4 linked regions of the Elephas maximus indicus genome follow. The protein of the gene in region 3 interacts with the protein of the main gene of each other region in a pairwise test. Links are inferred from orthologs where the notes say so. Each region holds a gene or a part of one and is shown on either strand. Other genes may lie near its edges.

Region 1 (7,701 bases), on a different chromosome or scaffold from region 3:
GTACCCTGGAAGAAAGGCCTCGTCCTGGTGATCTGCTTCTATAAATATTACAGCCATGAAACAGTTCTACTCTGTAACACATGAGGTAGCCATGAGTTGGAATTAATGGGAACATGTTTGGTTTTGAGTACCAAGTTCCAGGCACACTGTTAGGTGCTGGGGGATTTGAAGTGAAAAAGGCCCAGTCCTTGTCCCTAAAGAGATCATCATCTGAGGAAGGAGTCAATCATAAGTGGTTAAAATACAAAAAGACGAATGCAATCATAGAGGTGAGCACTCAGTGAGATGGGAGGCAGAGGAGGTGACAATTCTGCCTGTAGGGCTGAGGGAAGGTTTTAGAAAGCAGAAAGCACGTAAAGGGGACCTGCGAAGATAAATTTGAAGTTGGATAAGAGAGGGAGAGAAGAGCATTCTAGGAGGAAGGAACTACATACGGAAAGCACTAGAAGCAAGAAAGAGTCCCACAGGTAAGTAAGGAAACAGCAAGTACAGCTCAGTGTGGCTGGGCACGTGGTGCCTTGGGGAGGGCAGCTAAGAGATGAGACTGCAAAGGAAAGCAGTAACCCAAGTGCGAAGAGCTTGAATGCCTTGTTAAAGATTTTGGGCCTTCTTTGGACATTACGAATCCACGGAAGGATTTTAAACAGGGGAGTGACAGGACTAGCTGGAAGCTCTGCCTCACAGCAGATTGGAGGGTGCTTGGAAAGGCTGAGAAGGGAGACAGAGAGCACATTAGAGATTATACAAAGTCTGGGTGAGGGATGCTGTGGGCCTGGATTTATCAGTGGTTGGTTTGTGATGGACTACTAACCTTAAAGGTTAGTGGTTCGAATCTGCCCAGTGGCACTATGAAAGAAAGGCCTGGTATTCTGCTCCCATAAAGATCACAGCCAAGAAAACCCTATGGAGCAGTTCTATTCTGTAACACATGGGGTCGCCACGAGTTGGAATCAACTCAATGACAACAAGCTTTTTTTTTTTTTGTGGCGATAAGGCAAAGTTAAAGATTCAAGAGAGAAACATTAAGAGATGTTTCTAAGGAAACCACTTCAAGACCTGGTGACTGGATAACAAGAGAAAGATCTGAGAGGCAAAGAGAAATGAATAATGTCCCAAGACCAGATGGGAAATTCTTGTAATACTGGGCTGCTGCCGTGCCTCTCTTTCTCTCAAAGATGAGCAGTGATTACAGGTTACCCTTCATCTTCCCTCACTTTCCTCTGAGCCCCAGTGGTTTGGGTAAATCCTGTATCTCAGGTGAATGTGGGAAGACCACGTGCATCCTGCTCATAGCCTGCAGAGGCTTGTGTTCTGCACTGGACTCTCTTTCCATAGTGAGTGCAGTCAGGGCTGAAATTCTTTGCGTCACTGTGGGGCCCACAGGAAAGTGGCTGAATCAGCTCCATCACGATGGGAGTCCTCTCAGGGCTGGGACTGAATTTCTCCCTAAGACCATGAACTCCCACATGTCCAAGTGGAACCATGTCCCCCCATCAGCCTGGGAGTTTCTTGAGTGTCCCTACAGTCTAGGGGGGAGCCTGGGTAGTGTGTGCCATTTGCAATCAGCTACCAACCTAAAGGTTGGAGGTTCAAACCCATTCAGCAGCTCTGTAGGTGAATGGTCTGGCGATCTGCTTTCATAAAGATCACAGCTGGGAAAACCCTATGGACAGTTCTGCTCTGTAACACATGGGGTTTCTATGAGCTGGGGGCCGACTCCACAGCAGCTAATAAAAATATATCTACAGTCTCGGGATTCTCTTCACCCCGATCCCCACCCGGTTCCCTGCACCCCCCGGCAGGACACTGACCTGCACCAAACATGTCCGAGGTAAAGTCACACTGCTTACCCGGTAGGGTTGAATGGCCTCGTCAAGGAGCCCCACAGAGTGGGCCTGGTGGGAGGGACCCTCCCTGCAGAACACACAGAGGAACTCCGCATCGTTCTCACAGAAGAAATAAATCTTCTCGCCATGCTCCTCACAGTAGGTTTCTCCCAGAGGGCCCAGGGGCAAAGGGACCATGAGGTTCTCTGGCTGCTCCTTCTGCTGGCAGAGGGGGCAGAGCAGAACCCTGCTGGAGGGGTGGGCCCCCATCTGGAAGGGCACAGGGAGGCAGGGCCGGCAGAAGGTGTGTCCACAGGTGGCAGTCACTGCATCCTTCAGGGGCCCTGTGCAGGCAGGACAGGTGGCCCCCTCTCGGAGTGTCTGCAGGGAGGGGGTTGAGGACATCACAGTTCCTTGCCTAGCCCGTCCCTTCAGGCCTCTGGCTCCTTCCCCACAGGAATTCACTTTCCCTGAAATTGACTCACTTTTAAATGCATCTCCAAAGGAAAGGAATAAGAGGCCAAGAGAGAAAGGCAGGAACGTCAGGACGGGAAAGCACCTGGCTCTACCTCTTGTGCCTTCTCAAGGCCCACCCTTCCTGGGCCACCACCCATCAGCTAAGTGGGTCCAAATTCCAGGGTATTTAGAATTACCCAGCATTACCAATGGCAGCCAAGGGAGCCTGATTTCCGTGCAGTTTTATAATGGCTCCTTCCGGTCCCAGGGGTGGGGAGCAAAGCATGACGTGAGGCCACAAGGAGAAGAGGTTTCCTGGAATCCCTCCCTTTACCACAGTTGGGTGGGAAGGATTAAGGAGTGGACAGTTCCTGTCAGATTGAGCAGGTGAGAGCCATAAACTTCTGGCAATGAGGCGTGCCCACGGCAGCAAAGTCCAAGCTGCAGTAGGTGTGACTGACTTCCAGAGACTCTGGGGGTACTCAGAGTTGCTCACTGGATGCTCTACTCTGCCCTTCTTTCCTTGCCTCATCTCATCTCCCCAGGCGCCACTGTCCTCACAAGAGTTTGGGTCACATTGGACTTCGATTTTATCTAAACTGCCGGTAGACAAAGGCAAGGAACCATAATGCAATAGATTCATGCTAATAAAGTTTAGAAGACTCAATTAGTCAAAAGACAAACAGATTCAACCACGTTTATCTAGGGCTTAGTGTTTTCATATTACTATAGGGTTGCTATGAGTTGGAATTGACTTGATGGCAGTGGGTTTGTTTTTTTATATACAAGTCTGACAGCAACCTTGGAGCAGGTATCATTACCTTCATTTTACAGAGAAAGACATGTAAACTGAAAGGTAAAGTGATGTTTCCAAGGCCACAGAACTAGAAAGCACCAAGGCTGGAGACAATCCAAATCTCCTTGCTTCAATCCCTGTGCTGGCATCACACTCCAAGCCACGACAATGGTCTTCATCCACTCGCCACTTCCAGCACGGTTCTTCACTCACCTGCCACCCCGGATCCATGGAGAAAAACATACCTCCTTCCAGTTCCCCACTAAATGATCAGCCTGGCACATCGTTTTCTCTCCCTTTTCATTCCAACTACTGTGGTGATAATAGTTAACATACTTGGCTGCTAAGTGAAAGGCTGGAGGTTCAAGTCCACCCAGAGGCATCTCTGAAGAAAGGCCTGGCAATCGACTTTCAAAAAAATCAGCCATTGAAAACCTTATGGAGCACAGTTCTACCCTGACACACATGGGGACATCATGAGCTGGGGTCAACTTGATGGTAACAGGGACGACACTCTACCTACAGTCTTGCCAAGAGGGCAGTTCTGGGACTGTGCTGTTTAAAACGTGAGCCACCAGCCACATGTGGCTACTGAGCGTTGAAAGGTGGGGAGACCAATGTGAGATGTGCTGTAAGCGTAAAATACACCCTGGATTTCAAAAACTTAGCACAAATGAAAAAGAATGTAAAAACTCATTAATAATTTTCATGCTGATTACCTGTTGAAATGATAATATTTTGGATATATTGGCCTAAGCAAAATAATTATTAAAATTAATTTCACCTGTTTCTTTTTAAAATGTGGCCACTTGAACATTTTAAATTGCATATCTGGCTCACATTATCTTTCTACTGGACAGCACTGGAGATGCACAGACTTGCCTGAAAATTACTGGCACCCACCTTCCTGCTCTGTAACCTTGGGCAAGTTAAATAACCTCGCTGAGCCTCAGCTTCCTCATTTATAAAACGGAGATCCTAATAGCATCTACTTTATAGAGCTGGCAGGAGGGACAAGTAAGATCATCTGATTAAGTTCATTATATCGGTGTCACAGTCATCATAAATACATGCTGTTACTATTTTTCTTCTTTCACCTTCTCCACCCAGGATACATCTCAACCTCATTTAGAGACTGTGATAGGCCAGTTGGGGCATCACCGTTGAAGTTGCCTGGCACTAGGACCTTATCTGAGTGCCCATACTGACGAGAGAGCCCTGCGCTGGCTGATACCCCAATCTCCCTCAAGACAGCTGGTCATATTGCAGGGAGGCTGGGTGGCATCACCACTCCGGGACCCATTCTCCCTTCTCCCTGCTGTCCCCCAAAAGAAGAAATATCTCTTTCAACAGCAGACAGTTGAGATATCGCCACTTCCCTGCTACCGTGAGTGTCTCTAACGAAAAGGACCAGTGAGCCCCAGGCCATGGGCCCAGGTCTATGAGGCCACCCTGGAAAGCTGTGACCCCTTCTTCCTCACCTTTCTCTGCTGTTTTTCTATCTTCTACTGTTGGCGGGTGTTTGTCTCTTCCTTTAAAAGACCAGGACCAAACAACACCAGCTGCAAGGGAGGCAAATGGGAGCTTTGTCCTTGTGGGTGGCCTTCCCTGTGACCATACCCATGTGTGTGGCTGTGTGGGTGCTGGTGCGTATTTGAGATGCACCTGTGTCTGGCCATGTGCACAGGCAGCTGTGTGAGTGTGTGGTGTGAGTCCTCGCTGCTTTTCCAGCCCTCCTCCCTCAGCCAAGCAGGGAGGGCGACCTTGAGGATCAAGTTTGAATCCTGACTCCGCATGGCAGCACCAACATGGCGGCAGCCGCCTCCGTCACCAGCCTGGTCGATGAGGTCAACTGCCCCATCTGCCAAGGCACCCTGAGGGAGCCAGTCACCATCGACTGTGGCCACAATTTCTGCCGCTGCTGCCTCACCCGCTACTGCGAGATCCCAGGCCAGGACCCGGAGGAGCCCCCCACCTGCCCGCTCTGCAAGGAGCCCTTCCGCCCAGGGGGCTTCCGGCCCAACTGGCAGCTGGCCAGCGTGGTGGACAATATTGAACGCCTCAAGATGGTGTCCTCGCCCGGCTTGGCAGAGGAGGACGCCTGCCAGGAGCACGGGGAGAAGATCTACTTCTTCTGCGAGGATGACGAGATGCATCTGTGCGTGATGTGCCGGGAGGCCGGGGAGCACCGGGCCCACACCGTGCGCTTCCTGGAGGACGCTGCGGGGCCATACAGGGTAGGAAGGAGCCGAGCCGGGGCTTCCCAGGGTGGGCCTTCTGCAATTGGGCTGAACTAAGAGAATCAGGGCAGATTTGTGGATTATTTGGGCCACCCTGAAGCCAGTTTCTTTCTCCCTATTTAAATGATCACCCAGGCAATAAGCCCAGTCATGGACAATGGTGTGTTTATGTTTTGTGTTTTTGAGTGTGTTCTGTTGTTTACTTTTGGCCAACACATAATGGAAGCTCAACAAGTACTTGTTGGGAGTCTCTGGGTGGTGGATTAAGCACTGGGCTACTAACAGATGGAACCCACCCAGAGGTACCTCTGAAGAAAGGCCTGGTGATCTGCTTCCAAAAGATCACAGCCTTTAAAACCCTATGGAACACAGTTCTACTCTGAAACACAGGGAGTTGCCATGAATTGGAATCCACACCATGGCAACTGGTTTGGTTGTTCTTTAAGTACTTGAATGAACGAATGAACACAATATGAATGTGCGTTTTGGTGATGTATCAGGCAGATGTGTCTGAGTGTGTCTGGGTTTGTTTTCAGGGAATGGTTGTATGAATGATGTGTATATGTGTTAATGTTTGCATGTTTATGAGTGTGTACAGCATGTTAGGGGTCTGGGTATGTGTGTATTTGAGTGTGTAAGTGTAATTGAGTGCTCGTTTTCATGAATAAATTATTGTTTACATGTGTAGGTTGGGTAAATATATGTGGTGTATAATTTTATCTGTTATTAAATAAGTATGTACTTTTTTATTTGCGTGTTGTGTTTTAGTACAAGTGGGCATCTGGGTGTGTGTGGATGTGTTAAATAGTTAATTAGCATTTGAGAGTTCTAGATGTATTTTGAAAGTACATTTATGTGTATGTACCTGGCCATTTATGTTCCTAACTCTACTGTAGACCAAACAATTTTTTAAAGCAATTCATTGATTGTTTTTATATTACTCAAGTATCTTCCCTTCAGAATCATACAGATAAATGATTCCATTCACAAGGGAGGGTTGTTATGTGGACCTGTTTCATATGTGGTCATATGAGAAACTTGGGATAATTTTGAGATGGTTATCACATGTTCAAAAGCTCAAGACAGGTCTCAGATAACCACTTACCAAAGGCAAACAAAAACTAGGGTGTTTAACCTGGAGAAAGGAAAGCTCAAGTGGGAAAACTGAGTCATAGCCTCTGCTGGCACATGACAAAGAGGAAGAGCCCTGGTCAAAATTCTTGAAGGACAAAGCAAGAGGAACAAGACCTAAAGAGAGTATACTATCAAGGATGATTAAGGCCCAGGCATTGTCAGCTAAGGGAGTGGCTGTCTTCCTTGGGCCATTTTCTTCTTGGAGACAGAGGGTTGAATGAAATGATACCCCTTAACAAATGACTTTTTTCCATCTTAAATATTTTATGCTCCTTATCCCCAGGAACAAATACAGAAATGTCTTGTGTGCCTAAGGAAAGAGAGAGAGGAGATTCAAGGGATCCAGTCAAGAGAAAACCAAAGGATACAAGTCCTCCTTGTAAGTCGCCACTCCTTCTCTGGACCACTTTCCTTGACTCCATCTCTTCCCCAGGGCCCATTGTCTCCCTGAAAACTGAGGCAAAAGAGTATATAGGGCTTTGAGTCATTCTCAGTTTGAATCCTGACTCTGACACTAACTAGGCATGTAACTTCAAGCAACTCTCTAACTTCAGTTTGCTTATCTGTAAAATGGAGATTAAAAGTGGTCACTGCATTGAATTGCTGTAAGGATTAAATGAGGATATACCTGTAAAGTAGCTTAGCTCTGTGCGTATAGTGCGTACTTCATAAAAGGTGTCCCCACCACCTCCCCCTACCCCTTCTCTACGTCCTATCCCCTTAGAAGTTCTAGAAGATGGTGCTGAGTCAATGCCAGACAGTCTGTCTCCCAGAAATGGGATGGTAGGGGGAAAGGAAAACAGTCAGCAGTTCCAAATCTATCTGGGACCAGGGGAGGACTCTTATTCTACCATTGCCCCTGGGGGATGTGAATCTGGGCCAGGAGAGAGAGGGGAGTGAATTAAGGAAAAAGAAGAAAAAGGAAGAGGAGGAAAACAAAAAAGAAGACGATGAGGAGGAGGGAGAGGAGGGTAACTAACTTCCTTCTGGGGTCTTCTTCTCCCTCCTCAGACTCAAGTGGCCACCAAGAGACAAAAGGTAGTTTCCGAGTTTGCACATCTGAGCCAGTTCCTGGAGGAACAACAGAACATCCTCTTAGCCCAGCTGGAGAGGCTGGACGGGGACATCTTGAAGCAACGAGAAGAGTTTGATTTTCTGGTCACTGATGAAATCTGCCGGTTCAGTACTCTGATTGCAGAGCTGGAGGAGAAGAATGAGAGGTCATCAAGGGAACTCCTGACGGTGAGAC
Region 2 (7,239 bases), on a different chromosome or scaffold from region 3:
TAGCGTGACTTGGACTCCTAGTGAAACAATTTTCAGTTTTACCACTGAAGCATACCAGGAAGCATACATATTCTAGTTTGGGAAGGAAGTGGGGGTAGACCAGGGGTTTTGTCTTACATTGTACCTGTGTCTAGCCCACTCTGTCAAGAATTCTTCTTTGATTATAGTGACTTTTTTATTTTCTCTTGGGGACCCTCTGAAATACAGCTTCCCCAGCATATGCTCATCAGACATGTCAATCAATGTCTAAACCCCACTTTTGGACAAGATCCAAGATTTTTCCCACATAAGGGATGAAATCAAAAGATGTGGCTAAATACCTGTTTATATGTTCCAGAATGTTCCTTGAGAGTGAACAGCTTATTCAGCTTCTAGTATAGGATGATGTCACCCAACTCCACACGATGGTGTCTCTGAGTCTTAGCTCCAGCCAAGTCAAGATGTCCTGCTACACATAAAAATCATGTGGTTTTATAGCTCAATAATATGCAGTCATAAAGACTGTTTCTACACTTATTAAAAATATGACAATCTTTCACGATTTAGCTAGCTCTACTAAACAGCTATTGAACTGCTTCCTTTCTTTGATTAAAAAATACCCAGTTAGGAATCGGTCAAACATTTAAAAATAATTTAATATATAGATAGCATTTAGAAAAAGAAAATCTTAGGGCCAAATACACTAAACTTGGAATCATGGACTAATTCTTTTTTGCTACGTCTGGTTAGTCTTTGGCATTTCTTTTGTTATGAATGGTTACTATCACAACACTTTTTTCTCCTAGCATTTGAATTTAAATGGGTCATTCAAGGCAAAAAGAAGCCTATCTACTGAGCTTGTCCTGGAAAGCCTGTGGAGACTGGGAATAGAAAGTCGGAAGAGTGATGCCTCCCAGTCAGCGTTGCTGGAGTACACGTTAGGGTGCTACAATCATTCTCCCCTTGGCATGAAAATCTCCATCAATCTGAGGAAGGTCCATATGCTATGATACCAACCTGTAGCTAGAACAGCAGCTGCTCCTGTTGCAGGTACATCTCCTGAGTCCTTCTAGGAGGTGCTGAAGGCACCATAAGTGCCAAAAGGCCAGGAAAACAAAATGCTATTTTACTCCTATCCCCAGGAGCCCCAAGGACGTGAGCTCCTACCTGCAATGTGACTTTCAAATAAAAAAAGCAAGTGAAACACCCTTGGTATCCAATAGGGCCATGGATGGAAGTACTTAGATATGGAAAAAAAAAAAAGTGAAAACCTTATATTTTCTCACATCAACAGAACCAATAGGATAAACTGGAAAAGGAACAGATTTTCAGATGGAAGACCCCCAGTGGAACTGTTGCATCAGTTAACTAGATAGGTCACCCTGGCCAAGGTCCCTCAATCCTTTTAAATCACAGTTTCCTAACCTGGAAAATAGTGACAATAAACCTGTCCCATTTATCTAACAGGGCTGCCGTGAGTAGGTAATAACGTAATTCACGTGAAAGCATTTAGTTCAAAAGAAGTCTATCTGATGCTAAATCCGGAATACCTGCCTATGGGGGTCTCTCGCCTGCTCCATATGTGTATTCTTCTTCTTCATTCTCCCCTCCTCATTTTGAGGTTCATTCCCACCTATGATGGGCTCATCTTCACACTGTGACTAGTCGTCCTCCAAATTTAACCCCATTCACCAAACCATCACTGACAATAGGGGTGGGGGATCCACATTTAATCCTTCCAGGGACAAGGGTTGACAACGGTACTGAATCCTTGGCCCGTAATGCCTGGCGTGGTGACGCTGCGGGAAATCGCCTCTTAGCCCAAACCCGCCCTGGTCACAGAGCAAGGCCAGATCTCCCTTCTGAGCCTCGGATGGGTGGGCATCATTTTCGCAAAATTTTGCCACTGTAGGAAAAGAGGGGGGCTGCACTCGATCAGAAGCAGAGATTGATATACGGTAAGAAGAGGACAAGAAGAGTAAGCATCGACGGCGTTACTGACACAAATCAAAATGACACCTGAATGCCTACCGACCCGGTGGTCACGGCTGAAACACCCCCATAGAAACACCACACCTCCACACAGTTGCCCCTCTTGTCCCCAAACGCAATTCTCTGCATTCTATCACAGTGCGCACCCTGCCTCCTAGTCCCCAGCGGATGCGCACACACTAACACCACAAGCACGTGGCGTCTGGCCCTGCTCTGGCGCAGTGCGCAACAGGGGCGGGGGAGACTAGGCGGGGTGCTCGGGCGTGAGGAAGGCCTGGAGATTTAGGGAGTGGGCTTTATTCTACGTATTTTCCCCTTTGGAGAGGGGCGGTGGAAGATATCAAATCAAGACACTCTCCTTGGCCCTTCTTGGCGCAGGGGCGCAGAAATATTACATGGGGCCCTCAGGCAATGTAGCGGGTCTACACCCTCTCTGTCTTTACAAGTGGCTGCACTGGAATCCGCAGACTGCACTCCTTGCTAAAACTCCCATAAACCACAGGCTTAAGTCTCTCTTTATACCTCCTCATTTGCTACGCCCCTCTGCATTTCTTCTGAACACGTTGTGCACCCCCCACCCCTGGGGATACACCAAGCAAGAATGTTCTCGCTTCATCCTTGCTCCACGCAGCCCACCAAGGCCCGTGGGTGACTGGGGCTTTGGTTTTCCGCGCCTCGGATGGCACCCTATTCTCCGCACCGCCTGCCATTCCCCATTCCCACTGACGCCCCCCAGTTGTCCTGACTTCTGCCAGATTGTCTCCTTTTCCCCATCCATCAGCAAATACCCCGGGAAAGGGGAGGGATCCCAACCCGCGGAGCCCCCAGCCCGCGGTTCCATCTCCGCAATGCGGTGAGAGGGAGAGGCGCCTGGGCCAGGCAGGTGGGGGAGAGGAGGGCAGGGGACCAGGGGCTGCGTTTTCGGGTCGTCGCCTACGCATACCCAGCCCCTCTACTTACCCTAGCGCCGGAGAGCGGTCATCAGGCCCCGCACTCGGCAACCGTTAGCCGGTGGTCTGGCCGCTTCACTTCCGGAGCGTGGGGCTCGAGATGGCGTGGCCCGCCCCTCCCCTCCCCTCCCCTCCTCGGCGCCCCGCCCCGCGCCCCCCCTCCTAGCGCAGCTGCAGGGAACAGGCTGCCTCTCGGCTCCCGCAGCCGCAGCGGCCGCCCTCCCCGGCCTAACTTCGCCGCTCGCCGGAGCTTGCGCGGAGGCTGGGGGCGTGGGCAGGGAGGGGGAGAAAGCAGGGCCAGGGGGAGGGGCTGGGAGGGGTAGACAGCCCGCTCCAAAGCCCTCCTTCCTTTCTGTACACCTTGCCTTAGGCAGAAAGAGACATCCGTGGCAGCAGCGGGGGATTTTTGCACAGATAGTGGGAGACTTAGGGACTGGCAGACAGACAGACAGACGGAGGAAGAGGACCCTTCCCCAAGCCATCGCGCCATGGCTGAGAGGAAGCAATCCGGGAAGCAGGCAGAGGACGAAGAGGTCCCTGCCTTTTTTAAAAAGCTGGGCTCAGGCAGCCCCAAGCCCCGACAGAAATTCTGTGGCATGTTCTGCCCGGTGGAAGGGTCCTCGGAGAACAAAACCATCGATTTCGACTCGCTGTCGGTGGGCCGGGGCTCGGGGCAGGTTGTGGCTCAGCAGCGGGACGTCGCCCACTTGGGCCCCGACCCGCAGCCGCCGTACTCCCGGCAGGGCCGGCGTGCCGGCGGGGAGCCATCTGTTGAATCGAGCCGGAAGGTGGAGATCCGTCGGGCCTCGGGCAAGGAAGCCCTGCAGAACATCAACGACCAGGTTGGTATGGGAGGGCGGAGGAGATGAAGGACGGGGCGTGTGGGAGTTGCCTCTCCCTCCCGGCTCCGTGGAGACCCGAGAATCCAAGGGTACCCTCTTTCCTGCTCCTTCTTTAATGTTGCCTCTCTGCATATGCACACATACCCCACCCAACCTGCCCCTTCTCCGCCCAGGGTGCGGAGAGGCTCGTCGGTGGGCGGCTGTACGCCCACAAAGGCTGCCCGCACCTCTCTGGATCTGGGAGGTGGGGGATGGGGGGGGGTAAAGGACTGGCTGATTCCCGGCCCGGGGTTGCGCGGAGGGGAGTGGGCCGCGGTTTCATTCTTCTTAAATCCTCCCGGGCGGCTTCCGATTGCAGCTGTGGCTGGGTGCCCCACCCTTTTTTGATGCAGCTCGGAGCGTGCGGAGGAGGGGTTCGCGTGAAGGCCCGTGAGTTCCCTCGGGTTCGGGAGGGGTCGGGGCTCCGACCACCGCTCCCTGCCCGCTCTGCGCCCTCTCTGGCTGCACCTTCTTGGGCGCCTGTCGCTCTCGGGTACCGAGATCGGAGGCCAGCACCATGGTCAGCGCCTCTTCGGCTCGCCTAGGAGAATCTCACCACCCTTAACTCCTGGTCGCAGCGTGAGAAGAGTGAGGGAGAATGTGGAGTCACCCGAGGAAACCGAGACGCTTCTCAATAGCCCATGTGGAGAACAAAGTTCCGCTAAGTGCCTCAACAAGGGCTTCCCAGAGCTCTCCCTCTGCCGCTATTTGGGAGGTGCTCTGGGAATGGGAACTAAGTGGATTATGTTCAAAGGGTAAAAAAAGGAGGAAGAAAGAAACCCTCACATTTTGAATAGCATGTCAAAGAAGATTAGCCCTTTTGTACTGTAAATGAGTCAAACGAAGTCCAATTTGGTAAACCTTGATTTTAGAAAATGTTGGCCATTATCTGACAAATATGAACAGTGCACATTTTAAGTACAGTAGCTTTTTCACACCCCAGCTTTTTCTTTAACTGGGTGACCTTCATACTCGCACATTTTTTCCTCACAGCCTCAATTTCTCAGCAGATACTCTACAGTGCAAAATGTTTCATCCCTTGTTTGCTGTTTCTCCTGCACCCGTTAGGTTTAGCTTTCTGTGAAGATGAGACGTTAATTAATGATTATTGAATACCTATTGTGTGCCTTGATTTTGGGGCAGGAAGGTTAGCAATAAAAACTTAAAGGCAGTTTCTTTTCCTCACGGGGCTTCCAGAGTGGTTGGGAGTGGCCTGTTCCTGTTCATTGTGGGGTTCAACAAGCATTTACAGTGTAAGCATTTTAGAGAACAACATAGAGTAGGTGGTAATGGCCCTAGAATGGTGCTCCTGTTTCCTGATGTGGCATTGAGTTTTGCAGCTTTTGACTTTTATAGGAACAAGTCTAACGAAGTTAAAGCATTTGCGATCATTTTCATAATTTATACACTCCCCCCAGCTCTGTTCTCTGATGTTTTCATATAGGAAAGTATCTCATACACATATTTTATCATGAGTCAACCAGAAGAACCCAAATCCAGAAAATTCTCTTTGTTGCAAGTGACAAGACAATTGAAGCAAAAGTTTCTAATTGTGTAACCTAGACTAAAAGCTGAAAGTGAAATACTTTCCTAGATGAATGCATTGGGTGAGAGCCAAGCTTATATAGCGTTATCGTTATGTGAGTAACCTCATGTACAGCAAGTTGTCCTGGCAATTCTAATATCCTAGAGGGAGCAGAAGTATATTATGGAGAATAAGGAAGAGATCATTTATAAAATGGCTTTTGGGGGGTGTTAAGAGTGGCTACCCCATCATAAAAAAAACAGCAAATTAAAACTCAAGTCTGAAAGGCAAAGTTGCAATGAGTTAAATAACACATCTCTTTCTCCTGTCCATTTAGAAGCTTAGATGTTTGATCACAAGAGCTACTTGTTTGAATACTGGCTGAATTTAATAGAAATTCTAAATTGTATACCTATGGTACATGGAGGGAGAGATTTGAAGTGATAACATCCAACCAAAACCAGGGCATTTTTAGCCTCAGCAAACCTCAAATCAAATCCCGCTCCAGTTGCCTGAATATTTGTAGTAGGGAGATTCTGTCTTGGCCTACCTGTAGCCCTCCCAGAGTTTTCATCTTCAGTCTAGACTTATAGCATAAAGACTGCTCCTGTGGGATTATTTTCATTCAGATCAGGAGCATTTACCTGGATTGGTGCTTACAGTGTTCAATATTTCGTGTCTGTACAAGAGGAAAAAGGCATTTGGTGTGCATGTATGTACATGGATATAACTGGTGATTTCAAGGAGCCCTGGTGGCACAATGGTTAAGCATTCAGCTGTTAACTGAAAGGTCGGCAGTTGGAACCCACTAGCTGCTCCATGGGAGAAAAGACCTGGCAATCTGCTCCTGTAAAGGTTTCAGCTTAGCAAACCCTATGGGGCAGTTCTACTCTGTCCTATAGGGTTACTAGGGGTTGGAACCGATTTGACAGCACACAATAATATAGTGATTTCTGAAAGCACAGCTGGGTCCACCATTTTGACCAAATTGACTAGTCATCACTTAGTTTTCAACTAATGAGTAGGGTGACTCCCAGCATTTTAGTGCATTTCTGTAGGAAGGCCTGGCACAGAGAGAAATGGGGGAGAACTAGAGGGAATGAATCCCAGGGTGCCTGATTAATGCCCTTTGTCCTCCCCTGAATCTGTATTTATAGGTGTTGCTAAGGCATGGTTCAGAAGAGGCTTTGCCCATGAGCCCTTCTAGGGGTCCTGCTGTTCATTTAGCAAGGCTTTGGGAAGGGAGGAAACCCTGGTGGCATAGTGGTTAAGAGCTACAGCTGCTAACCAAAAGGCCGGGCAGTTTGAATTTACCAGATGCTCCTTGGAAACCCTATGGGGCAGTTATACGCTGTCCTATAGGGTTACATTTGGGATGAGAGACTTCCCCACCTGAGCTCTAAGTCGAAGAAAATTCCCACTAGCTAAACAGCCTCTTCCGTCTTTCCCCCTTGTAGCCCAAGGATAGAGAGGGGAAGTGCTGCCATTGAACCTGTTGTCATTGACATCTGGTCATGATATCCTGAATGTTGCATAGTACACATACTTATGGCTCTGTGCCATGGAAGTCAATGTTAGCGTAGACAGTTTTCCCAGCCCCAACAAGAACAGGCCAGGATTTCTTAAGGGACCTTTAGTGCAAGTGCCCCTACTACCTCCTTGAGAAAGAAGGGAAAGTCAGAACTGATCATAGATTTGAATATACACTACCATTGAATGTCAGATCTCGAAACAACCTAATGATTGTTTAATCATCTCATTTTGGAGGTGAAGAAAGTGATGTCCAGAAAAACAGTGCTTCATTCCATTGCACTGAGGTGACAGCCCCAGCACTAGAACTGAGGTCTCTTGCTGTTCATTCCCACCGCTGCCCTATACCAGCAAAACCTTATTAGTTATGTAGCATTACATA
Region 3 (7,799 bases):
AAGCTCAATATCATCCATAAGAACTAGGCCAGAGGCTGGCTGCGGAAGAGTCCATCAATTGCTCATATTCAAGTTGAAGCTGAAGAAAATTAAAACAAGTCCATGAGAGCCAAAGTATGACCTTGACTATATCCCACCTGATTTAAAAGCTCAGTATTTCTCAAGCTGAAAGAACTGAAGAAAAAATTCAAGCCTCAAGTTGCAGTATTGAAGGATTCTATGGGCAAAATAGGAGCCCTGGTGGCTGCAGTGATTAAGGGCTTGGCTGCCAACTGAAAGGTCGGCAGTTCAAACCCACTCGCTGCTCCACAGGAGAAAAGACCTGGCTACCTGCTTCCTTAAAGACTACTGCCTTGGAAACCCTATGAGGCATTTCTACTCGGTCCTATAGGGTCACTATGAGTTACAATCGACCTGATGGTAACAGGTTTGGTTTTTGGTTGGGTAAAATACTGAACAACACAGGAAGCAACAAAAAAAAAAAAAAAAAGGAAGGAATATCCAGTCACTGTACCAAAAAAAATTGGTCAATGTTCAACCATTTCAGGATGTAGCATATGATCAAAAACTTGAAAGAAGAAGTCCAAGCTGCACCGAAGGAATTGTCGAAAAACAAGGCTCCAGGAATTGACGGAATACCAAGTGAGATGTTTCAACAGCTGGATGCAACGCTGGAAGTGCTCATTCATCTATGCTAAAAAAATTTGGAAGACGGCTACCTGGCCAACCATCTGGAAGAGATCCATATTTGTGCCCACTCCAAAAAAGGTGGATCCATCAGAATGTGGAAATTACAGAAAAATTTCATTAATATCACATGCAAATGTTAATTTTGCTGAAGATTATTCAAAAATGGTTGCAGCAGTACATTGACAGGGAACTGCCAGAAATTCAAGCCAGTTTCAGAAAAGGACTTGAAACAAGGGATATCACTGCTGATGTCAGATGGATCTTGGGTGAAAGTAGAGAATACCAGAAAGATGTTTACCTGTGTTTTATTGCAAAGACATTCATCTGTGTGGACCATAATAAATTATGGATAACATTGCGAAGAATGGAAATTCCAGTACACTTAATTGTGCTCATGCAGAACCTATACACAGACTAACAGGCAATCATTCGAACAGAACAAGGGGATACCGCTTGGTTTAAAATCAGGAAAGGTGTGAGTCAGGTTTGTATACTTTCACCATAATTATTCAATTTGTATGCTGAGCAAATAATCCAAGAAGCTGGACTGTATGAAGAAAAAAAATGGGGCATCAGGATTGGAGGAAGACTCGTTAACAACCTGCATTATGCAAATGACAAAACCTTGCTTGCTGGAAGTGAGAAGGACTTGAAGCACTTACTGATGAAGATCAAAGACTATAGCCTTCAGTACGGATTATACTTCAACATAAAGAAAACGAAAATCTTCACAACTGAACCAATACGCAATATCATAATAAACAGAAAAAGATTGAAGTTGTCAAGGATTTCATTTTACTTGTATCCATTATCAACACCCATGGAAGCAGCAGTCAAGAAATCAAACAACATATTGTACCAGGCAGATCTGCTGCGAAAGATCGCTTTAAAGTGTAAAAAAAAAAAACCAAAGATGTCACTTTGAAAACTAAGGCGGTTCTGATCCAAGCCCTGATATTTTCCATCTCTTCATATCCATGTGAAAGCTGGACAATGAGTAAGAATGACTGAAGAAGAATTGATGCCTTTAAATTATGGTGTTGGCAAACAGTATTGAGTACACCACGGACTGCTGATTAAAAGCTGGCTGCTAAGCAAAAGGTCGGCAGTTTGAATCCACCAGCCACTCCTTGGAAACCCTATGGGGCAGTTCTACTCTGTACTATAGGGTCGCTATGAGTGGGAATCGACTTGACAGCAATGGGTTTATACAGACAAATCTGTTTTGGAAGAATTACAGCCAGAATGCTCCTTAGTAGCGAGGATGACAAGACTTCATCTCACATACTTTGGACATATTATCAGCAGGGACCAGTCCTTGGAGAAGTTCATCATGCTTGGTAGAGGGTTGGCGAAAAAGAGGAAGACCCTCAAGGAGATAGACAGACACAGTGGCTGCAACAACGGGCTGAAACAGCAATGATTGTGAGAATGGCACAGGGCCGGGCAGCGTTCTCTTCTGTTGTACCTAGGGTCGCTATGTGTTGGAACCGACTCGATGACATCTTGAGTACTCAGGAAAGTACTCAAAATGTGTGAATGTACAAGAATTATAGCATTATCTATAACAGCAAAAGTTTGGAAATAATCTACTCACCAGTAGGTAAAGTAAATTACTGCATTTCCACTCGGTGTAATACTATACGACTATTGAAAATAATATAGACATAAAAGATGGCCATAACTTTTTAAGTGTGCTATTTTTTTTTAGTATGGAAGAGCTTAGTATGATCTTGTCTGTGAAAAAAATTGTATGTTTATTATATCTCTGTGTGAGTCATAAGTATACATAGGTAAGTGAAAAATGATTTTCAAAATGTTTCTGTACTGTAAGTCAATTTTAAAATGAGCATTTATTTAATCATGCATTTGATATTATTATCTATCCATTCAGCAAATATTTATTAAGCATGTAGTATATTCTAGGCAAGAAGCCCTGATGGTGCAGTGGTTAAGTGCTTAGCTGCTAACTGAAAGGTCAGTGTTTTGAACCCATCAGTCGTTCCATGGGAGAGAGATGTGGAAGTCCCCTCTCATAAAGATTACAGCCTTGGAAACCCTATAGGCCAGTTTTACTAGATGGCAATGGGTTTTAGGTTTATAAGGTCACTATGAGTCAGGATCAACTTGATGGCACTGGATTTTTGGTATATTCTAGGTATGATGCTGGGTGCTGGGGAAACAATAGAGAAGAAGCTCTCATAAAGCTTATGGTCTAATGGAAACCATACTTTCATCAGGAAAAAGATATTTTCATTTAGGGGAAAAAACTCATCTTTTGGAAAAATGTATATATGCAGCACATATGACAGAGTTAGTGTCATTAATATTTTAAAAAATTCTTGCAAATTGAAAAGAAAAAGACAAACACCTTGAAAAACAGGTAAAGACCATGATGAGAAAGTTGCAAAAAATTACAAATAAGCAAGAAAAAAATGGCTAGCTTCACTACAAATCAAAGAACTATGAGTTAAAATCTTACTTTAATCCATTAAATTAACAGTATTTTTTTTTTTTTAATGACAACTAGTATTGGTGAGTTAAGGAGGAAGGCAATGTCATGCACTATGTCGAGGGTATAGACTGGGAAAACATTTTTGGAGGGCAATTTAGAGCTTTTATTAAAAGCCTTAAAAATGTCTATTTCATTTGATCATACAATTCTATTTTTAGGAACTTATTCTAAAGAAAAGAGCATGGATGTACACAAATATATATATATATATGTATACAGCAACCCATAGATGAGTTGCTTATGGAAGAGAGGGGGAAAATTAAATATTCAACTCTAGGGATTTTGATAAATAAAATAGCGTAATGCAGAATGACTCCGGAGTCATGTTTAACATGTTCCCATGTTAAAAGCCACAATATATAAGTGGAAAAAGTTTTAAAGGAGTGTGTTCAGTGTTATCACATGCTGTAAAATATAATAAATATATGTACATAAAAAGAATTAAAAACGAAACCTCAAATAATATTGAAAATTCACAGTGCTTATTTTTGAGTGGTGGAATTCAGAAGTTTTCATTTTATTTTAGATTTTCTACAATGATCTTGTTTTATTTTCGAAATAAGAAAACATTTAAAAGTATACTGAAATTCTTAACAGCAGTGAGACTGTTTAAAGAAAGGACACTTGAAAGCACTTAAACAAAATGAAGACAAACTTGCTGACCTAGGAAAGGGCATGGGACCTAGGTTCTGACACTAAATTGCTGTGAACTTGAGGGGATCATTTAAATATTCTGAACCTGTTACTTCATCCGTGAACTTCAGAGTGGCCTGTAGGATCCTTAAGGTCCCTTTCAACTCACCTTTCCTGAGTCTCGGGGCTCAACCTTAAGGAAGAAAGTAAAAGTCCCCTTTATCAGTGCACATGTTAGGTATTTCCAAAGCTATTTAACCCACTTCATTTAAAGATTTATCAAAAAACGATCTCAAAAGAGAAAACATCCACGTTTTCTCAGCAGCCTACTCTACCAGGCAACGTGCCTGGTTCTGAGGGCTCAGAAAGACTTTAGTGCCCTCATAGAGTTCAAAGCCTGGTGGGAGAAATCAATACTTAAAATAAAAAGTGATAACTGACAACAGGGCTTGAAAGATGAGTTCTCCAGAGAATAGGGTAGAGTATTCTAAAGAGAAAGAAAAGCCCCGTACATACACAAGACACTAGAGGGAGGCCGTGGCTAACACACACAAAGGGACCATTGTTTTGTGGTCCTTCTGGCAGCCTCATTCTTCTCACAGTCACACAACACCCAATCTCTGTGGAGGCTGAATGAGAGGATCTAGAGGAATTGCAGCAGTCGTTTCCAGAGGTTTCATGTGTATTCGCTCGGGCGGGTGAAACTGGAGGGAATCGGCAACACAGAAAATTTTCACCAAGGCACCAGGAAGGCCCAGGTTGTGAAGGTCGCTTCGCTGCTCTTAGCCGCCCGGGGCACTTTCGATTGAGGGTTTCCCGCCAATCTCGGTTCCTCTGTCTTCTAAGGCCCCGCCCACCCCAGGGAGGCTGCAGGCTTTGAGGGCCCGCACGCATCAGGAACCTATCGATGTCTCTGGAATAGACTGCCCTGCCCTGCCCTGCCCTGCGCCGTAGCACCCAAATCCCGTAGTCTTCTCTGTCGATTGCCGAGCGATAGTTTCGGCCGCGCTGTTTGATCCGCCGTTTTACCAGAGGCCGCCGCAAAGCCCGAGCTGGAACCATGGTACGTTGGGTCCCGTGCCGCTGCAGGGTTGGGGTAGAGGTCCGATATCTTGGGGGATGGCAAGTCGCTTCTCCTGTCACGCTTTGAGCACCCCGGGGTCTCGGGAGCCTCAGCCGACGGGAGAGCCTAGACAGTGATTCAGCATCTCCGGCCAGGCCGGGCGAGGAGCTGTCGGTAGTCGGTGCGGCCTTTACTCCGGGGCGTTTATTTCGTTTCCCGCGGGACTTTGAACACCTCCTACCCGAGTCTGCCCCTCAGAGTCCTTCGCTGGTGTAGATTCCGAGTAATCCAGAGTGGCCCTTTATGCTGTTTGTGGAAGAGAGAGGAGAAAATAGGGATTTAATTTGGAGGCTTTCCAGTACCTCCAGTGAGGACTTGACCCCAGGATTTGGGTTCCAGGACTGCGCCCATTTTCCTGGTAGGCCTGTGTGATTTACTCTCCCCTGCGACTCAGTCAGAAAATGCCCTTTTCAGTCACTTTTCTAATCACCTAGTTCAATAAATGAGAGGGAAAGTGATGGAATCAGGGTTACAGTACTATGTTTGCCTTTCCAGCGCTCAGCCTTCTCACCCCATGGTTATTCTGTCAAGGACTGTGCTGATAAATTTGTCAATACTGTCATTACAGCAGTAATAATTCTGTTATTGCACTTATTTGCATCCACCTCCAACTTCTGAGGACAGTTTTCTGTTTATTCAATATGAATGTATGCACACTACACTGTTTTAAGTGCCGTGATGGTTCAAATATAAATCAGGTATGTCCCTAATCAGAATATAAGGTAAAAAGGGAAGTGTAGGTAAAGAATTATGAGAGTCTGCATTGGAAAGATTTTTGGAGAAAAGATGGAGAAGACTTCAAGGAAGAGACTTTGAGCTAGTTTAAAGAAGAGGAAGGGTATGGGCCATATCTTAGAGTCCAGTATAAGGGGACAGCATACACAAAGATATATGGGGAAGAGAGAAGAGAAAATAGGGATCTGACTTGGACGCTTCCCAAAAAGTTGTATGAACTTTAATAATTGACTGAACCTGTGGGGTTGCCATGAGTTGGAATCAACTTGATAATAGCGGGCTTGGTTTGGCTTGGAAAGGGAGTGCTATGGAGAGTGGTAGAATAGGAAGTTGGGAAACCATGACCCATCCAGATTTACACACTCCCCTCCAAGACAAATGTATGTAAAATTGACTTGCAACTGAGTAGAGTAGTAATCTTACAATAAGGTTGTATTAACAACATTGTGTTTGTGTTGAATGGAAACGTATCTGTGAACATTTCTTAATGATACAGCATATTGAGAATTGGGATTTGTAATGTTCTTAATTAATAAATCTTTTTTCTTTTACTTTCAGTTTCGCAACCAGTATGACAATGATGTCACTGTTTGGAGCCCTCAGGTAAAATAAGTCATGTGCCGTTTCTATGAAGTGGCTTTTGGTGGCTACAATATGTTTAGAAAGTTATGAGATTGTATGCTGTGAGAACATGGAATATAATCATTTTAGATATTTCTGGAACTTAAAATTTTCGTTAAATATTTCCTGGTTTAAAAAAAAAAATCATTTGAGATTTAACAATGCTCACCTGAAGATTGGAAGCTCCACAATAACTTCTACTTTGTAATAGTCTTCTAACATGACTCTAAGATGTGTCGTTTTTTTCTCTTCAGGGCAGGATTCATCAAATTGAGTATGCAATGGAAGCTGTCAAACAAGGTTCAGCCACAGTTGGTCTGAAATCAAAAACCCATGCAGTGTTGGTAGCATTGAAGGTGAATAAAACAATAAATATGTCCTTCTCCTTTAGAAACAGAACTACCAAACATAAGTTTCACTGTATAGACAATAAAGTCATAAATTTTTTTTTCATTGTTGTGGTAAAATATGCACACCAAAACATCTGCCAATACAACAGCTTCCCCATGTACAATTTAGTGACATTGATTACATTGTGCCACCATCATCACTACCCTTTTCTGAAGAATTCCACCACCCTTAATATAAACTCAGTGCCCCCCCAAAACCAAAGTGCCTCCTTTCCCTCTCCTTCCTACCCTTGTAACCATTAATAATCTTTTATTTCTGTATGTTTGCTTATTTCATCATAAACTTGCCTTTTTGTCTTATAATGTCTCTAGAGGGCACAGTCAGAGCTTGCAGCTCATCAGAAAAAAATTCTCCATGTTGATAACCATATTGGTATTTCAATTGCGGGCCTTACTGCTGATGCTAGACTGTTATGGTGAGTATGATTATGAAGAACAAAAGAAATACCCTTTTTAATTCATATTTGACTAGTCTACATTTTAGAAAAGATCTAGGTAAAGTATTTTAGGAAGTTGTTTGCCAGAATGTTTATAAATTAAAATTGTGGGCTTAGTGGATTTGGGCTCAGTTACTAACTGTTCCATTGCTTGGTCCCTGTGTGGTAACTAATAGGATAAACCGTATTAACACTGTTGAGAAAAAGTTGAATAACATGATACTTGTTGATTCAATGTATATTGTTTGAGTCCGTGTCTGAGAAGAGCTAGACGCTTGTCTGGTTTCTAAGGATGAGCTGAACCACCTTGCTTCCTTTCATAAGTATTTACCATATTAGACATTTATTTTTTGCAAACCTCAACCCTGGATACTGTGGAGTATACAGAGGTGAATCATACGTGAATCTTGATTTCAAAGAACTTAAAATCTAGTTGTATATAACGAGCCTAATAGAATACAAAGTAGAAAGAGGAGAGTTTTCAAAAAGTAACATGTAAATTTCTGTGAAAGTCTGGAGGAAATAGAGATTATTTCTCGTTGAGAGGCAATATGTAAGTGAAGAGCTGGGGCTCTGAAATCACATAAATTGAGATCAGTTCCTACCTTCACCACTTTGAGACGGGGCTAGTTACT
Region 4 (7,385 bases), on a different chromosome or scaffold from region 3:
CCAACATGACGGCACCTACCAACTACTGAACAAAAAGTGTTAACCTGACTGTCCCAAAAAATCCTTTGCCTTCGAGCTGATTCTGACTCATAGCTACCCTACAAGACAGAGTAGAACTGCCTCATAGGGTTTTCAAGGCTCTAATCTTTATGGAAGTAGACCACCACATCTTTCTCCCAGTGTAGTTGGTGGGTTCCGACCACCCACATTTTGGTTAGCAGCTGAGCTTTTAACCGTGGAGCCACCAGGCCGGTGACACAGAAGGAAAACATGGAGGATGTGGTGCCATGGAAACCAGACTCCAGGTGACCTGGTGCTGCTGGTTAGGAATGTATGGTCCACGGTAAGGTTTAGGGTTGGGCCTAAATACTAATTAAAGCTGCAGGAAAATATTTTACCAATGTAATACAGATAGCAAACGTACATTTTTATTGTAACAGACACAACAATTCAGACAAATTACAAAGTCGATAAAAGCATTACTAAATTGAGACTGTGTTGGCATCTCCTGTCTGAAGGGGAGATGGGAGGGTAGAGAGGGTTAGAAACTGGCAAACCGGTCATGAAAGGAGAGGCTGGAAGGAGGGAGCGGGCTGACTCATTAGGGGGAGAGTAAATGGGAGTATGTCCTAAGGTGTATATAAGCTTATATGTGACAGACTGACTTGATTTGTAAACTTTCACTTAAAGCACAATAAAAATTATATTTAAAAAAATTAGTAAAATATAGGTCAAAGGAGAATAAGAAGTACCAGAAGCTTGCTACCTCTCCATTCTGGGAACATATTTATTTTGAATCACTCTCTTAGGCAGCCTACATGGCCCATTCACAACTAGTTTTAAAACAATGTGCTATTGATGACTCCATGCCAAAAATGCTTTTCTTCTCACCATCCTGTTAAGAGCTTCTCAGTTAGAAAAGCCCTTGGTCATCCTCTTTGGATTTCAGACAACTAGCTGCTTCTTTTGAGAGCCGTCTGAAGGTTCCCTTTTGCAGAAGCAAGGATTCTCTTGTGCAACAAAATCACCCTTCTGTGATTTTTTCCCTTCTGAAACAGACTGGTCTCTGTGCTTCTCTCTGTAGAAAGTATCTGGAGCCGTCCCCCCACCCCCGACATTCTTAGCTGGAAAAAGTAGCCCATGAGCTGTCCCTTTCATACTGTAGGCCTGTGGTGTGGCAAGTCGGCCTCAGATTAATTCAATTAAACACCTCAAGCCGAAACTGTCAAAAGTCTTTTTTTCATGGGCCAGGTTTGTTAATACGATTAACATGTTGTATACAAAGGTAACCATTAAATAATTATAAACAAATAATTTCATCACATAATCCCAGCCGATTTTACATTGCCTGCCAGATACAAAACATTTACTTTAATAAATTTAGTCGGTAATTTACATAAAACATCTGAAAGTGAGGATATTTTTCAAAGCAGCTGCTTATGTGATGTGACTAGTAAAATCTCCCTACTCTCCACCCCTACCCACACACACTATTAGTCATTCTTTTGACTTAATATATTGAAGGCCTCTGTTAAAATTAAAATACCATCTACTAAGGGGGAAACAATGCAGCTATTAAGGTGTTAGGTTGAATTAGTTGACTGAATTCCTTAATTATTTAGTAAGGTCCTGTGTGAAAGGGATACGGAAGCAGGTAAATTTAGGGGAGGGAAAGGAAAGTTTCAAAGAATGGATTGCTGCCTGGGGACGACAGGGCGGGTAAGGCATCCAGGATAGATCTGTGGAAAGCCAGGGGCTATCTTGAAAGCACTGGAAGCTCAGGTCGAGGCCAGACTGCTAACAAGTGAGGGATAGGATGCTTTCTAAAAGACGATAAAGATCATTAGAAGGGAATCTCTCTACTCCCAGTTCTAGCTTTGTTCATGGGTGTTCATGATGAAAGCAGTTACTTCTTCCCATTTTAGAAAATTCTCCAGCTTTCTGTGGGAATCATACCCAGTGAGCTTCAATAAGAATTCTCAGAATTCTGACTCAAGTTTGGGTTCAACTTCTGTCTTGGAGAAGTACCTTTTTCTGATTTTTAAAAAATTAAAAAGCAATGCATGAAGAAATTCTCATTATAGAATATTCAAATAATTACAAAATATATAGAATTAAAACCAAAAGTCCCCTTCCACACGCATTCCAATTCTAGGGTCGCACCATTTACAGTATGCTGCCAGGTTCTTTTCTTTTTTTAAATAATTTATTTTATTTTTGTAGTTGTCGTTGAAAATATACACAGCAAAACACAGACCAACTCAACAATCTCTCCATGTACAATTCAGGGGCACTTATTTTCTTCAGGTTGTGCAAAGATTCTTACCCTTCTTTTCCAAGTTATTCCTCCATCATTGACATAAACTCACTGTCCCCTAAGCTTCCTATCTACCGGGTTATTTTCTATGTATTTTCCTGCATATGTATACATATATATGTGTGTGTGTATATATATATATTTTTAACATGGAGTCCGTGAGTGGTTCAAAAGGTTAGGTGCCTGACTGATAACAGAAAGTTTGGTGGTTCAAACCCACTGAGAGGTACCTCAGAAGAAAGGCCTGATGACTTGCTTCCAAAAGGTCACAGCCTTGAAAACCCTACAGAGCACCAGTAAAACTGAGTACAGAGTAACACATGGGGACATTATGAGTCCAAATGGACTCGATGGCAACTGGTTTGGTTTTGACTTTCTTATTTTACATGAATAGAATAACCTGTATTTGTTGTTCTGTATACTTCATTGTTTTTTAAAAAAAATTTTGAAAAGATAATACATGCACATCATAAAAATTTCAAACAATATAAAAGAGCATATACAATGTGAAGTATGTCACCCTCCTGTGCTTAACCCCCAGGCAAGCAATATAATCCATTTCTTAGAGTCTGTGCATATACAAGCAGATAGGGACAGATCCTCCCCCCTTTTTCACACAAGTGGTAGCAAACCATACACAGCTTTGCACCTTGCTTTTTTTCATTTAACAATATTTCATACATATTATAAATATATGTGTATAAATATATGTGTATGGAGCCCTGGAGGCACAGTGGTCAAAAGATCAGCTGCTAATGAAAAAGGTCAGCAGTTCAAATCCACTAGCCATCCCTTGAAAACCCTCTGGGGCAGTTCTACTCTGTCCTATAGGGTCACTACGAGTAGGAATCAAGTCAAGGGCAACTGTTTTTCTTTTTTTTTAATAAATCAAAATCGGCTCTAGGACAATTTTTTTTCTTTTTTGAATCTTTATGAGCAATGATCACCAGTTCTTTTCTCCCGCGGACCGGCTGGGTGGGTTCGCACTGAAAACCTTTGGGTTAGCAGCATTGCGCCACCAGGGCTCCATATACGAGGAAAGAAAAAAAAAAGAATCTTCGTATTATAATATATATATTGTAATATATATGTAATTATAATATATATATTGTAATATATATGTAATAATATAAACATAACCTTCTTCAGAAACGACAATATTTATTTATCCATCCCCTGTTAGGCTGCATCAGCTGACTTCTGACTTACTAACTTTTACTTCTCTTAGGGCTGGACTTTCATCAGGAGGATAGCTGGCTGTGATTTTCCCCTTGGTTTCCACCTTAGTGTTCTCTAGAACATTGTTTAACAGAGGTATTGGCTGATTACTATTGGTCCCTGACGGGATACACCCAGAGCTACCTTAACTTCTCTGGACTTGTTCCCATCCATGTACAGTAGTGGGAGGTCTATGTGTGTGGGGGTTGTTTCCTTCCATTTTCTCTCCCCCCCTTCTCATTCTTTTGTTCCTTCTTTTTTTTTTCTTTGTCATGTTAAGAGTCTCCTCTTCCTTTCCTCTCCTATCCATCCGGTGAGTGGGGGCAGCATCACTGAACCAACGACAGGTCAGCGGAGACTCTGACTGCAGACCAATGGGGTACTCCCAGGTTCCAGATGGACCAATCAGCTTATTAGGGACATCAAATACCTAGATAGCTGGCATCTGCCCCATTGTCCTCTGAGTAACGACCCTCTTGTGTTGATGGTCAAAGATTTGAAGGTGCAAAAGAAACTTTTTTTTTTCTTTTTCCTTTGGTGGCTTTAATCCATCTCCACAACTTCTGCCCAAGGCCAATAAAACACAGCCATTCTCCCTTTGTAAAAAGAAAGAGGGGTTGGGTTTCCTTCAATTGTCTGCTCCTTTCTGTCTCCTCCACTATTTTTGTTTTATGTACTTTGTAGTTAACTTTACATAGAGCAGCTTCATCCGTGGACCTGTGCGGTGGACCCCATACACTTTCTTCTCATTGCCCATTGCAACAGCCTTTTTGTTCTAACCTGGGGGGTGCTTGTGGGGCAGGGCGGGGGAGAGGGGGGGTGGTGGCGGGTGGGAGAAGAGTTTGGCTGTTGACTTCCTTTGGCATTCCTCACACATTCTGCTCTCTCTCTGTCTCTCTCTCTCCCTCTCACACACAGACAGACAGACAGACAGACACACACCACACACCATACACACACACACACACGCCCGCCCGGGCCCCTCTCGGTGTGTCTTCCTTCAAGATGACAGGGCGCTGGAGAAAAGGCCGCTGGAATCAGCTGGTAGGTACAGTAGTAACCCGAACCCCACCTACCCGCCGCCTTTGCTCGCTCAGGTTTCACCGGTCACTCCTACCTGGGGAGAAAACATATAAATGTGCCTCCAGAGGAGGGGCTGGGGGAGAAGGGAGCGGCGAAGGCGGCGGAAGGTGAGCCTGGGAAGGTGGCCGGGGCCCTGCTTGGTCCTCCCTCGGGGCGTTAGCCCCAGCCCTGTTTGCCCCCACCCACTCCCCTTTTCGAAGGGATTGCCTTTCTCTCTCTCTCTCTGCGGCGGCGGAAATGACAGTGTGGTGCTGCCGTGGTGTCATGGTGCTGCTCCTGGACTGAGAAGCGAAAACTCTTTAAGTTTGGCTCGAGAGATTCAGCCAAGGCAGCGTTGCAGCCGCCGTGCTGTCCCCTGCCGGGCGCGCGGGCAGGCGGATCCCGGCTGCTGCGCGGCGGCGGCGGCCAAAGCGAAGGCGGTGAAGGCGGGCGGCGGCCTAGAGCAGCGGCGGCGGCGGCCCGGGAGCTAGCGCCGGAGCCCGAGCGAGCGCTGCCGAGAGAAGCGAGCGGCCGGCGCCCTCCGTCGCGCCGCCTAGGAGATGGCTGGCACCCGGGAACGCTCTGGGTAAAACGTGCCCCCTAGCCACCGTCCCTGGGGCTGAGCGCCGCCGCCGGCGCAGGGCTCGGCCCGGGCTCCGGCCGCCCCTCAGGTGCCGCCGTGGCCGGGTCGGGCCAAGGGCTCTGGGGCTCGGTGGGGCGGGCTGATCGGGCCGAGAGGCTCGAGGCGGCGGCGGCTCCGGCCCAGCCCTGCCTCCTGGTTGCGACACTGGGACCCGGGCTCCTGCCACTGCCCTCCTGGGACGGGAGTTTGCACTCGGGTGCGGGGCGGGGGCGGCCGAGGCCTCCCGCGCAGCCCGGCTGAGTCGGCTCGGACAGTGGAGCGGCTTCCCCGGCGCCCGGGCGGGAGTCTGGGAAAGGGCACCGCCGCCTTCCCACGCTCCCGCTGCCGGCAGCCTCCTCCGCTCGGGCGGCGCCCCTTGGACGGCTGGCTGCCTGGCGGTGGCTGCCGCAGCAGCCGGGGATGCTGCGGACACCCTGCCGGCGGGAAGGCCAGGCGAAACTTAATCCTTTTTCTGCCAGGGGAGCGAGCAAGCGTCTAGTCTCCGTATGGATGGTTCATTCTTTATGGCCTAGCTGTGAGACCAGGTCTTTAGGGGAGAAGGAAAACTTACATATGTCCACAGGACAGGCTGAGACTGAATTGGAGAGAGGTGGGGTTCTTCCATTCCTGTCTCGTAAGAACTAATAACAGCGGAGTAGATTTACAGAAACATTATTTGTGATGATAAGGTTTAGGCTACTTAGCTTAGCACTTCGTGAGCGGCACATTAGTTTTCGGAGGCATTTCTTCCCAGAGCAGGAAATTGGGATCCTGGGGTCGCTTGGTTCTTCATTTTCCCTCTTCTACACTCCCCTACCTTCCTTCGAGCTCAGTCAGTCACCTTCTTACGTTGTCACACACCAATTTGTCCACCCAAATCTCTCAAATCCAGCGCCCCCCACCCCAGCCTTTCCACATCACCCTGTGCACTCAAGTAACCTCCCAGCCGTGCAGCCTCTTGTTTCTCAACCACTTTGTCTTTTTAAGGATCTCTGACGTGAGGGGTGGATGGTAATAGTTGTGTGCCTCTGAGGTTAAAATAAGAGTTGTTGTTAGTAGTCACTTAGTAGGTTCCCACTCATGGTGACCCCATGCATGTTAGAGTAGAACTATGCTCCATAGAGTTATCAAGGCTGTGACCTTTTGGAAGCAGATGGGCAGGCCTGGAACAGTCAAGTTTCTAGCTACTAGTTGAGAGCTTAACCGTTTGCGCCACCCAGTTGTTGTGGTGGTGTGCTGGGTACTCGATTCCAACTCATAGCCACCCCATGTGACAGAGTAAAACTACCCCATAGGGTTTTTCTAGGCTGTAATCTTTATGGGAGCAGATCATCAGGTCGTTCTCCCTCAGAGCCGCTGGGTGGGTTCGAACCACTAACCTTTCAGCTAGTGGCCTAGGGCTTAATGGTTTCACTACCAGGACTCCCAGAGGGGCCCTTAAAAAGGAATATATTGAAACTGTACATAAACAAGTGCTGTGTGTGGGTTGATTCTTTGGGTTCTCAAATTGAGCCATAAGGGCTGCCTTTAACCCCATTCTGTTCCCTCCCAGAACTGTAGTCAGTTCTCTGGCAATGTTCCAATAATAGTAGGAAGAATGCTGAGTGGGGAGCCCCCCTCTCTTTTCTTCTGTTTCGGGAGCAGTGTTGGGCGGTCCCAGCTGGTTAGCCCCCCCATCCCCTTTACATCGCCTCTCCTTGCACCGAGGGGGAACAGTCTTTGCCATTTTTATATAGATTGCTACCCAATCAATTGACTTAATACAGATATATAAAGTAAATTAGATTTCTCCTGATTACTCCACACAATTTGATTTATGTAGTTGAAATACAGGTCTAGGAGCCAAGAAGATCAGAGAGTTCATCCCAAATCTGATGTTGCATTGGCTTTTATGGCATCCCTGTGACCTTTCTTTCATAGTTGGTGCACTTATGTAAAAGGCATAATATTGTGTACAGAGTATTGTGAGTCTTGGCTGGGTCTTTTGAAGATGAAAGGGTTCTATAAACACTCAGCATTGTACTTTTCGAAGAAAGTACTCCATTTACCTTTTATTGGGATAGTGGCTAGACTGGGTATAAGTAGGAACCCCAGTTTACTGGAAACCATACCTTGGCATTATTAACGCCCTCTGGGAGACACACCTACTGTACTTAGGTCTGAAGT

Evidence for each region.
Region 1: the proteins of PSMA1 (region 3) and TRIM10 interact in binary tests that used the Homo sapiens proteins (3 or more experiments, as listed by UniProt). The two-hybrid records come from large-scale screens. The link is inferred for Elephas maximus indicus from reciprocal best matches to the Homo sapiens genes PSMA1 and TRIM10.
Region 2: the proteins of PSMA1 (region 3) and PNMA2 interact in binary tests that used the Homo sapiens proteins (3 or more experiments, as listed by UniProt). The two-hybrid records come from large-scale screens. The link is inferred for Elephas maximus indicus from reciprocal best matches to the Homo sapiens genes PSMA1 and PNMA2.
Region 4: the proteins of PSMA1 (region 3) and MID2 interact in binary tests that used the Homo sapiens proteins (3 or more experiments, as listed by UniProt). The two-hybrid records come from large-scale screens. The link is inferred for Elephas maximus indicus from reciprocal best matches to the Homo sapiens genes PSMA1 and MID2.

The regions. Positions count from the first base shown.
Region 1 is NC_064819.1:89,831,189-89,838,889, reverse strand, and holds the start of TRIM10 (tripartite motif-containing protein 10), read left to right. Parts: upstream 1-4,697; 5' UTR 4,698-4,886; coding exon 4,887-5,315; intron 5,316-6,735; coding exon 6,736-6,831; intron 6,832-7,463; coding exon 7,464-7,694; intron 7,695-7,701. Other genes in the region: TRIM15 (tripartite motif-containing protein 15), read right to left, coding at 1,851-2,231. UniProt on the Homo sapiens protein: E3 ligase that plays an essential role in the differentiation and survival of terminal erythroid cells. May directly bind to PTEN and promote its ubiquitination, resulting in its proteasomal degradation and activation of hypertrophic signaling.
Region 2 is NC_064840.1:47,008,521-47,015,759, reverse strand, and holds the start of PNMA2 (paraneoplastic antigen Ma2), read right to left. Parts: upstream 3,002-7,239; 5' UTR 2,932-3,001; intron 449-2,931; exon of another isoform or gene 446-448; 5' UTR 321-445; intron 18-320; 5' UTR 1-17. Other genes in the region: DPYSL2 (dihydropyrimidinase-related protein 2), read left to right, coding at 3,410-3,763.
Region 3 is NC_064825.1:69,851,433-69,859,231, reverse strand, and holds the start of PSMA1 (proteasome subunit alpha type-1), read left to right. Parts: upstream 1-4,791; 5' UTR 4,792-4,898; coding exon 4,899-4,901; intron 4,902-6,254; coding exon 6,255-6,299; intron 6,300-6,571; coding exon 6,572-6,673; intron 6,674-7,039; coding exon 7,040-7,143; intron 7,144-7,799. UniProt on the Homo sapiens protein: Component of the 20S core proteasome complex involved in the proteolytic degradation of most intracellular proteins. This complex plays numerous essential roles within the cell by associating with different regulatory particles.
Region 4 is NC_064846.1:50,053,851-50,061,235, reverse strand, and holds the start of MID2 (probable E3 ubiquitin-protein ligase MID2), read left to right. Parts: upstream 1-4,373; 5' UTR 4,374-4,579; intron 4,580-4,651; exon of another isoform or gene 4,652-4,725; intron 4,726-4,753; exon of another isoform or gene 4,754-5,183; intron 5,184-7,385. UniProt on the Homo sapiens protein: E3 ubiquitin ligase that plays a role in microtubule stabilization. Mediates the 'Lys-48'-linked polyubiquitination of LRRK2 to drive its localization to microtubules and its proteasomal degradation in neurons.